Linked DNA regions of Drosophila melanogaster. The protein of the gene in region 1 interacts with the protein of each later gene in a pairwise test. Each region holds a gene or a part of one and is shown in the gene's direction. Other genes may lie near its edges.

Evidence for each region. Proteins that work in one complex are often made in the same cells at the same time.
Region 2: the proteins of CG15012 (region 1) and PIG-C interact in a two-hybrid assay, tested with the Drosophila melanogaster proteins (one large-scale study listed by BioGRID).
Region 3: the proteins of CG15012 (region 1) and Cnep1r1 interact in a two-hybrid assay, tested with the Drosophila melanogaster proteins (one large-scale study listed by BioGRID).

What each region holds. Positions count from the first base shown.
Region 1 is NT_037436.4:4,290,419-4,294,006, reverse strand, and holds CG15012 (uncharacterized protein), read left to right. Parts: upstream 1-1,760; 5' UTR 1,761-1,853; coding exon 1,854-1,937; intron 1,938-1,997; coding exon 1,998-2,132; intron 2,133-2,190; coding exon 2,191-2,320; intron 2,321-2,383; coding exon 2,384-2,493; 3' UTR 2,494-2,799; downstream 2,800-3,588. Other genes in the region: Fdx2 (ferredoxin 2), read right to left, coding at 837-1,176, 1,265-1,383; Hexo1 (hexosaminidase 1), read right to left, coding at 2,828-2,894, 2,957-3,588.
Region 2 is NT_037436.4:3,317,142-3,320,842, reverse strand, and holds PIG-C (phosphatidylinositol glycan anchor biosynthesis class C), read left to right. Parts: upstream 1-1,610; 5' UTR 1,611-1,650; coding exon 1,651-2,151; intron 2,152-2,253; coding exon 2,254-2,613; coding exon of another isoform or gene 2,614-2,691; 3' UTR 2,692-2,815; downstream 2,816-3,701. Other genes in the region: CG12016 (uncharacterized protein), read right to left, coding at 1-98; Dpm2 (Dolichyl-phosphate mannosyltransferase subunit 2), read right to left, coding at 192-328, 938-1,046.
Region 3 is NC_004354.4:22,943,313-22,947,225, forward strand, and holds Cnep1r1 (CTD nuclear envelope phosphatase 1 regulatory subunit 1), read left to right. Parts: upstream 1-2,008; 5' UTR 2,009-2,172; coding exon 2,173-2,544; 3' UTR 2,545-2,696; intron 2,697-2,758; 3' UTR 2,759-3,027; downstream 3,028-3,913.

The sequences.
Region 1 (3,588 bases):
ATTAAGCGACAAGTGTTTTAATGCGTTCTAATAGTACCTCTGATTATCGGAGCTTGGGAACGACTGATAAGGAAACGCAAACAAAGCTAATGCAAACTTTATCAGTGTGATGAAATGTTTGTGTGGGGGGCTTTGATAACAGCCCTTGTGTTGGCCGTGACTGGAAGTTTTGGTATAAACAAAACAAGTTTGGCAAAACGAATGAATAGAATAAAGAATAATATGGTTCGCATTGTCATACAAGCGAGGCAAATAGGAATATAAAATACGATCATCTTGAATTTGCTAACTAATGATCATAAACCTGTGTTCAAAAGTATACTACACACTTTTATTAGAACTATGATGCCGAGGAAAATCTTTGCGTGTGCCTGTTTATTTGCCGAGCACAACTTCGAGATCATGAATACACGCAGAAAAACACTTTTTAGCTGAGATATTTAAAAAACAAGAATGACCGATTTAAAATCGGCTAGTTTTGCCAATAGAATTAAAAAGGCAAATGAATTATTGGTTAAAAATGATATCTACGCTGGATGCTTTCCTCCACAGTTTCAATAAAACCAAGAGAAGTACGAAAATACATGTAAATTTATTGCAACACACTTATTTACATATTGATCTAATCCCTTTGAGCTTAAACACTTTAAAAACAACAGCGGACGCTAATCCGCAACTGGAATCGGATTAATGCGCGCATCCATTATAGCCGCCTGAGGTTTGTGTCCCTGGGACAATACATACGATTTCGTTCAAAAATATTGACTACATCTAGGTTGAACTAAAGCGAATTAGCACTCAAATTTGTAACAATTGATAACAGTGGTGGTGTCTATCTACGCGGCACGTGCGTCATTGATGGTGGAGGGCACATGTACCTCCAGGCCCTCCATATCCTTGGACAGGGTGATCTGGCAGCCCAGCCGCGAGGTGTCCGTCAGTTCGTACGCCAAATCCAGCATGTCCAGCTCCTCATCACCGGGTTTGTCGGGCAGTTTCTCGAAATCGCTGGTCTTGAAGATCAGGTGGCAGGTGGAGCAGGTCAGCGTGCCCTCACAGGCCCCGAAACCATCCAGATCCACATTGTTGTTGACCACCACGTCCAGCAGGGAGTCACCCACTTTTCCGGACGTCTTAATCTTGTCCCCATTGGCACGCACGAAGGTTATGTTAACACTGCAATAGCGAGATTGGTCAATGTTTACGCTGCTCTGGCGGTGTGGAGCTACCATTGTAGTGCTCGTGGGGTGGAGAAGATACTCACACATCTTTCGTTTTCAGGGCCAATCCCGTCGAGAAAGTACGCGTTGCGATCGGCGATCGCAAATTGAGGCTGCGTAGCGCCAATCTGGAGGCAGCTCTGCATGAGTTTATGACTAGCATTCTGGTTAGGATTCCTTTGCAATCTCTTACTATAACTGACAACACGCACCCACTCGTGTCGCTGCGATCGGTTGTTAAATAATAAGGAAATCAATTAAATTTTGTTAAACGTGAAGTTGTGTGTGACCGTATTGGACTTTCTGAAAAAGACGTCGTGCCTTTAACGTACTAAAAAACAACAACAAACTGCATAAGCAGTAATTTTAAAGTTAAACATTTAAATGTTTGCACAAATTATTGCACAAAATATTTAATTAACAGCAACTTTCTTTTTATAACGGAGTTAATTTGTGTTACACAAAAAGTATATGTTACTGCTGCAGTTCAGGTGTGAACACACTAAATACTGAAACAGGGTTGCTACAGCGAGTGAAGAAACCCTGTATTCACCTGCAGACAGACAACCCTGTGCGTCAAAACAAGAAGATTTAAGAGTGGAATAAATTTAATTACGTTTTAAAACCTAAACAATGGGCGTGTTGGACAATATTGCGTTGCATTTCACGGGGGATGCGTCCAGGAACAGGAACACCTCCATAATAGCCGGACTTCTGGTAGGCTAACACCCGCAAACAAAGAGCCGCCCGCCTGACAGTGCAACTTTTTCTCCTTAGTTTTTCGCAGGATGGTGGGTTCTAATCGATGCCATGTCCATCGACGGCAAGCACCAGATTACCACAGGACACGTCTTCATCGGCATCTTCGGGACCATCAGCTTCTGCATGGTGAACGCAGTGAAGGGAGAACATGTAACACACACTTATCATTGGGCTTAACAAGTGACTCACTTCTTTTGTTTGTGCGCAGATTTCTGATGAGAACTCATCGGAGTCCGGCGCCAGGATAGCGAAGATCTGGCTGCTTGTGGGCTTCCTAATGGGTTTTGCCTCCATCATTGCCGCCATCTGGGTGATGATCGACGACTTCATCAACAATGGTGAGAAATAAACAGATATTTAAGGATTCCTTAGCTGAATTGCACCCACTTATCGTTTTTCAGAAAAGAAGGATGGCTGGTTTGGCGTGGCTCTGCTGATGCAAAACGTCTTCATCCTGTTCGCCAGTTTGGTCTACAAGTTTGGACGCAACGAGGAAGAGTGGAATGAGTAAAGCTTCCATTCAAATTATTGCACAAGGGAACGCAGCTTTTAGTATCTAGACTCATTACGTACATAATCAGGAGTCCAAGGAGTTTATGCTTGAGGCCGAGGACACCATCACTCGCAAATCCTCACCCCACACATTGAAGCGTAAAATGTCCAACTCTGCTACTGTTCATATTCGAAAAAATCGTCGAGTCTGTACGGATTTCCCTCACTATTTCCGACATTCTGCCGCTTTGAATCGGAAAAGGGCGCAGAGCAGGGCCAATAATCTCATTTATATTTAACAAAATAAACGACAAGTCACTTGCGTAAGGCCACCTTTGAGCTGTACTTTATTTTCAGGCAGAGAGCGTTGTGAGAAGCAACAGGACGATCAACCCAAGCCGCCCGCTGCCCCGACTACATCTACAAGGATAGCGACCGTTAAGAGAAATGGTTTAATAGCTGGTCAAACTTGTGCATCGTACGCGTCAATGGGACACTCGTGCTCGTTTTGCAGGCACCACTGCGGCTGCATGGCCTCTGCGCCCAGACCATTGTCCACCAGTCGCTGGCGGTGGAGCAGCAGACGTGACTCCGCCTGGCGCCAACCTTCGGCAGGATTTGACCAAAGTCGTTCGGCCAGGGCACTGGCCCTGGGCCAGAAGCGGTTGTCCAGTGTGTGCTCGTCGATCTGCTCTGACCAAATGGCTCCCTCCGCGCCCAATACATGATGCTCGTAGTCGCCGGCAATGGATTTCAAACTATTGTCGTACACCTTCTGCCAGCCAATGTAGGGGGAGCACCAGTTGTTTCCATCGGTCACCCAGCCAGCTCCGCCGCAATCCAAGTACAGGGCATCGTAGTTGGACACAATGATCTTGTAGCCCCGCTCCAGAATCTTCTTTACCTTCGGATCTACACCAGTGGTCCAGATCTGAATGATGTAACGCTCTGGGTTCAGATACTCGTCAATGAAGGGCTCCTCAGTGAGTCCACTAGTCCACAGAATGATGGGCGTGTGCGTACCATTGGCCACCTTGTCCACGCGACCAAGAGCCTCCGTCTGGAAGTGTCCCCACAAGCGCATAAAGTCGGCGGTCTCCAGGCCCCAACCCTG
Region 2 (3,701 bases), 970 kb from region 1:
CCTCTCAGACCCTTGAAGTAGTCGTGCAGGCTGTGGGCTAGCGTAGTTTTGCCACCACAGGTGACTCCCGAGATACCAATGACCAGCCACTGCGGCATCTTGTCCACGACTGACTATCGCTCTTCCTTGTTTTTCAGTGGAATCGTACGTTCGCGTTCGCACCGAGCAAGATAACCCCCCGGATAACCCCCTTAATCACGTTTCACTCTCAGGCTCCAGATGTGGTAAAAGGAGAACGCGGCGATGCCGCCGAGGAAGATCACCCCGAACACGGTGGGCACAATGAAAGCGTACTTCAGCGGTGGAAAGAACAGCCGAATGGGATTGCCTGTAAAAGTTTGTAAAGTATACTCATGTTCACAAGTGTTTCATTTGATAACAGGCCAGGAAAGAAAATACGTAAGTATATTGTTTTTATGATTACTCTTAATAGCAACAAATTAAAATTGTCACGGAACGGCAAAACTACGATCATGAAATATTTACGTATAAAGTGAAGAGCCAATATCCAGGCGGAAAAACTACCGAAAATAATTAGCTAAGTACACACCCAGATTTGGAACCACATAATACAGTGGTACCACTGGTTAAGCACGTTTTCGTTTTTATCGCTGATTGTACATGCCTAGACTCTACAATAGCTAACTAGTTTGACTGTGCACATATCGGGCGAATACTGTACTCCTATCATCACTAGTCGTCGGTGACCTTGACCCGAGCTTAGAGCATCGTACAGCCGCATTCCAGGTAACCCGTGTTAGGGTGGTCACCTCTGTAAAACACACGGGTTCATCCTCGTACACTGCCAACTATATATAATTGAACATCGTGACCAATTTACGCCGCGGCGTCACTTTAATTACTATACAAAAGCGCGAGATTATTCAATAAAACTTATGTATTAGCGGGTGAATAACGGAAGCCGTGGAAAACTCACCTTCATCGATGAGCATAAACGGGAGGACGGCCACCCAAAAGAAGTAATAGAAGAACACGGCGATTGCAGATATCAAAATGATTTTCCCGAGTTGCGCATTCGAAGCCATAAATAGCTATTCTCGGAAATTCTGGGGTTTCTCTGGCGAGAGAACACGCGACCGGCGATTTGTTTGTAAAACTGCTCATGGGGCGTTCTCCCCGGACGGACTGCTTCACTGTCCACTGATCGTTTACCCGCCGCACGAATCCCTAATGTTTTTTCGTAGCTGCCGATTTACTTTCGTGGCGTAATTGTAAACAAAACAAACAAGTGCGTCAAAAAATTTCCGAATTCAAGGTAGTGGTGGTTCAACCACTCGAACAAGTATCGATAGCTCGAGTAACTGTTTTGCGCAACACCAGCGGATGTTCTTATCGATGTAGGCGAGTCACTTCTGCTTGGGGATAATTTTCAGAATAAGATTTGTATATTATTAGCTTGCTGTAAAACCCCTTGTTTAGATAATGAACAGTTTATTAATATTTCAAATTAAACTATCATCATCGATATTTCAAGTGAAACATGCATCACTATGACAGTGTGACCAGCACTTACTTTCAATACTTTTCAGTGGATAAAACAATATCGATATGTCGATAGTAACTGATACTATCGAACGCTGATAACCCAGCACTAATAGAATTGTAAACAAACAATTTTTAAATTTAAGAATGGTAAAAAATGGGCAATCGAAACGGCAGCCATGGGTGAAGAACCTGTACTCCAACCGGGAATATCCGGACAACTACACGGATGCCAGCTTTCTGAAGGATCTGCGCACGAATCTACATTGTAGAATATACACGTTCGGCGAAGCAATTGCCGGTATTACAGTGCTTAATAATCAGATCTCCTGCATCACCGGCTTCCTAATACTCTACCAACTTATGCTCAGCGACAGCGTGTCGCCCACCACGATCCTGGTACCCAGTTGCGGGATCACAGGCATTGGATACCTGTGCTACCGAGGAAGGAGTCTCAGCTGGGCCCTGCTGGGCGAGGATTCCAAAACCCTGGTCACAGTGGTCCTCTTCGGCTACTTATTCTCACCGATGCTGCACACCCTAACGCAGGCCATCAGCACGGACACCATATACACAATGACCTTCTTTGTCCTTCTGGGCAACCTGATATTTGGACACTATGGATTGGATGTAGCCATGGTCTCTAAGGTAGGCAATATTTACGGCTATTGGTGTTGATTGTATATTGATCTTGACTCCACCTCAGAATCCTATATAATACAAATACTTCTTGTTCCATGTTAAGCGCAGGCCGTCTCGTTGAATGCCGCCATATTTGGAGCAATTTGCTTAGCCTCCCGCCTGCCGACTTCGTATCACGCCTTCGTGCTCCTTGTCGAGGCTGCCGTCTTTTTCGTCCTTTATCCCATAATGACGGAAGCGAATTGGCATGCTGGATTCATGTTGCCTATATTTGCAATATGCTGTATGGCGCTGTACTGTATATCGCGCCCGGTGCTCTATCTCTACGCCTCCACCACCATTTTCATCAACTTTGTCTGCCCGTTCATATTCGTGTGGCAGCAGCAGTACAAGTTCAACATTCACGGGCCCTGGGACGAGGCCATCGTGGAGGAGAACACCGAGGAGAACCTGGATGGGAACTTATAGCGCCAGCTGCGCTTCTCAGAACAGTTGCCGCCACGACTGGGTAGCGGCGACGTCGAGGAGCACTTCACTGATCGCTAAACCATTGCACGCTTATTTTTATAACTTTGTAAACTCATTCCAAGCCATTGATGTTAATCTTTTGTATCATGTTATATCTGTTAGTTTGTAAGTAGCGTTTTAATAAATTATACTTTTTGTGTTTAAAACCATAGCACTTTTAAATTTGTGTAATTTTTAGGGGACTTTCTTTTGGTCCTATGAATGGCTTTTTAAATAAATTGTTATCAACTTAAGGCAAAGGTTTTTCAATTGAAAGATAATGGAGTTAAATTAACAGGGTGAGTTTTTTGGCTTGGTTGTGTTTTACTCAGACTAAAAATAAATTTAGTTAAAGATTATTTATCGTCAGCGACTAAAACCCGTTTCGTAGATAACAATTAAACATTCGCATGAGCATACATTGAATATATTTGACCCTATCTAACGCAAATAAATTGAAGCAATTGCTTTAATAATAGACTATGGAATATGGATGAGTGACATCTGTATTAAGTGCACGCCCTTGGGTTTCCCAGAAGTTCCTAGTCTAACCAGAGATTTAATTATTTTAGTATTCTGCGTTTTACCTATCTATGTAATGCATGCTGTCCTGCAAGCTACTTCCACAGTTTCAGTAAGCATTCTTGAGAGATAAATAATCCAGATTACATCATATAGTATCGCTGTACGCAGCGCTCTATTTTCTGCAATTATTCATCCTATAAATAGAATAACTTAAGCAGTATTTGAAGCATGTTACAATCTGAATAAAAACAAATTATTTTAAAATATCGTTAAATTTTCAATACTTCACAGACTAAGTCAGAGAATTAAGGTGTTAGCTAGTTTTAATTGAGAATATATTTATATGTACTTATTCATATATTTTGTAATGAATAAGAATAGAAGAAAACCTTTTCGAGTACGTCATCAGTTAATATTAACATTTTTAAGGAACAATCCTTATCCGTCCTTTGTACGTACATTTAAATACCTTAGTATCACATAGTTAGTATCACAGTTGAACCAGTACGAAATAATCATTTGCG
Region 3 (3,913 bases), on another chromosome or scaffold:
ACACGACTGTTCGCTTTGAAGTTAGGATATTGATATTTAACTTTCCTCCAATATACACTAGTCCGCATAAGTATTTGGACAAAATAAACGCTGCACATTTGTCAGTGAAACTTTTAAATGGTTTGATATGGTAGTATTGATTATTTTGTATTTTTTTGTGTTTTTAATTAAACTTAAAAAGTTATAAACAACTTAATGAAACATGATAATTTTTTGTTTGGCATTATATTTTGACAAACTCATTTAGTAAATGGTGTTCTGCTTTTGAGCACGTGTTAATCAACAATTGTTTAAATTGAACTTTTTTGGATATTGAACTTTAATAAAAAACAAAAAATTAATTGATAGCCATGGGTAAAAAGGCTAAGTTAAGTTTATTTATTAGATCAATGGTTGCACAGTTTAACGTTGGAATTAAAGTAAAAAACATTGCAAATGAGTTTAATGTGTCGCGACAAGCTGTGTATTATCAAATTAAAAAGTTTAAGAAACATAATGACTTAAACCTAAACAAGAACAGGCCGTTGCAACGCAGTGGAATCTGACCTCCAGCCTTCCGAAAAGTGAACGTAAGGCAATCAGTGAGTGGACATTTCGTCGACGTTTAAAGGAACAGGACACTGCTAATCAGGTATATTTTTAAAAATTAACTAGCTTAAAAGGCTGAAATTTGCAAAGGAATTGGCTTTCTTTATGTCAAAGCAAACGAAGATATTAGTAAGTGGCTAGTCATTAGTAACTTCTAGGAGAACAGGTAAATAATCTGAACTGAGAGTGTTTATTACTCGCGGAGTTATAAGATATTGTGGGCGATTTGTTAGGAAAAAGTTTAGAGTACATGGTTGACCGTGCTTTCCTGCAGGCATATAGGTGTGGTCAAGGGGATACAGTATTTAAAAGTTGTTGCTGTCAACTTTGGATTTTAGCAGGTTACCCCACGAGTTTGCCCGGCGACATCCCCAAGACTGGTGTCGGCAATTTAGGTCACCTCCTACAATATAAGGCACATTTGCGCTGCTTAATTGGCGAATGTCGGACAAAAAGAGTTGATTTTTCTGAGGATTTACTTGACCTCATGGAAAGTAACAAGACTAAATAAATGTCTGAGTGCCAACTATATTAAAAATATTTACGCCAATAGGTAGCAGGAAATGGCGAATACTTGTTTATATACATGTATATTGCAACCCCTCCCCCTCTTTTGACTGTTCGATCGTTTCAATAACAGCTATAGTTGCGTATTTTAACGTGTTGTAAGATGTTTTTAACCAGGTTTCAGAAACTAGGCAAATGTCAACATTATTACTATATAGAAATTGAGAAATTGATAGTCAGAAACGCTTCCTTTTGCCTGTTACATACTTTCAACGAATCTAGTATATCCTTTTTCTTTACGAGTAACGGGTATAAAATGGTTAGAATTCCGTCGTGCAATGCAATGTATTTCTATGTTTTTGAAAAACATTCCAAGCCAAATTATATGCACTCGCGTGATGGCTCTATAAAAATAAAATTTTTCAATGTGAAACACTCAATCAAATCAACAATCTTAGGCATAACTAGAATCTGCAGGATTAATCTTAACTTTGTAGCTTTTATAGTTCCCAAAATTTCGACGTTCATACGGACGGAGAGAGTTACAACAAAGACACTACAATAACAAAATGCGTAACGCCATACGATTTTTTTTTTGGCGTGGCTCTAGAGGTGGCTCCAGGGTCTCTCGAATTTTTGTTCAAGAGCGAGAGAGCGGAAAGCTGTACAGCGAACGTTTCATTTCTACGCATACATTCTAGTTTCTTTGTTTACTACTATGGTGATCTAAACGAAATATAACAATATAAACATTTATTTTAAATGTGGTGGGATAATGCATTACATTATAGGCAAAATAGTGGATATTTTACAATCTCAATGTATGTACTTTTTACAAGGAAGTAAAAGTGAAAGCATAGAAACCATCACAGCACTCGTTTCTTGAAAATCATATCATTATTACTTTGTCTTTTTTTTCAAACAGATTTCGTCTTTACCGAAAAAAATTATTATCGTGTCAGTAAAAATTCTGCAAATGATGCGGCCTTGCTGCTGTTCGTAAAATAGTAATTAACGGGGCAATCAGCATTGCAGCGCCCAGGGGACCGCATTAGAGTCAACTCCTTTAGCAACAGAATGGAGGACACAGATCAGGAAGACCTGCTGGCTTTCGAGCGTCGGCTGGCTGAGGTGGTAAACACTGAGAAACGGAGTTCACTCCGCTGGCGCTTTGTTCTGGGCGCCATCTTCGCCTGCTCGGCGATCAGTGCCTGTCATTGGGTTCGGGATGCCAAGGAAAGCGAGTCGGTGGTTTTCCAAATCCTGTCCAGTCAAAGCGCCTTTGCCTTCTCCCTGGCAACCATATGCCTGCTAATCTTTTATGGATTCAATCACGCCACTAAGCAGGACCCCAGTATCCTGCGTGACACCCAAGAAATGCTGTCTCCGTTCCGCCTTAACATTGATAACCAGGGACGTCTCATCCTACTTCCACGGCAGACAGAGTAGCTGAATATATGTATATCCCCAAAAACACATTTTTATTGACGGCGTTCCAGTGGAATAAATGATCCAGTCAATAAATGATCCAGCTAGTCAAATAAATGATCCTCAAAAATGGAAATGGACTAGGTATTGCACACCATGACAAATTTCGCGAGGTGACTTCTTGAAACTAATTGTTTTTTATTTACTTTTGAAACGTTATAAATTTTATTTCTAGTTAATTAGCGCTTAGACTAGCGACGACAACAATACAAAAAAGTTCGCTGACAATAATGCTTAGCGATCAAGAAGCGAAGAGTGGACTTAAAAACATGCATTGCATAGAAATGACCGAGATAGAGGGCTGTTAGTGCTGCGGCCTTAAATTATAAAAGGCTACAGAATTCGATTTTGCTGTTATGAAATCAAAAGGAGTTGGCTGCTGTCGACACAACAAAAGTGGGCATAAGTATTTAGACAATAAATACATTCAATATATTTGTTTATAACTCATTGTTTACTTAATGGGAAATTGTTTAATAATTTTCGTATATATGTAGAATATACATATACATATATATGTATTTATATGTATATGTATATGTATATATGTAGTAAAATAATCATATGGATTATTTAAATGTCATAAATTTAAAAGAAAAAAATCAACAAAAAAATTATAACAAATTAATAAAAAATATACCCTCTCTTAGCGTCTATCAACTTTTGGAGACGTTTTGGTACAGAGTGTACCAAACTGTGGTTATAATCTATTGAAATATACTTCCATAAGGCTTGAATTTCCAAAATCGTTTCTTCGCGACTCCTAGATATGTTTGCACGCCTTTTCTTTATACATATATGACCAGAGGTTTTCTATTATGTTGAGGTCTGGACCTTGAAATGGCCAACCCAATGTGTTTACGTTAACATTTTTCAGAAACTGCGTAATTAGCTTGGCTGGAGTATATAGGACTCCCCAAAAAATTTATCACCAGAGGGGAATGCATGATGCTGCGCAAATGGGATACATTATGGAAAATCACTAAAGCATTACTGTTTTTTTTGAAATAATTGAAGTGGCCGGTTTGGACCACCCAAATACGCCACTCCCCTTCCCGTAAAGAGAACCCTATACTTATACTTGGGCTGGGACTGATGGATATAGTATGGGAAATGGAGTTTCTTCTATTTCTTTTTGTTGTGTTTTGATTTGAATTTTTTCTTATTTTAAGTTTCGCATACAGCATCATAAATGGCTTAAGTGGTACATATCTTAAATATAAGTACAACAAAATTAGTGCAATTATTACAATGATCATTAGTATGTAAAGTGTAATATTGTTCTCTGAAATCATGTCAACAATGTCGTTGTGTTTTACAATTTTTATTT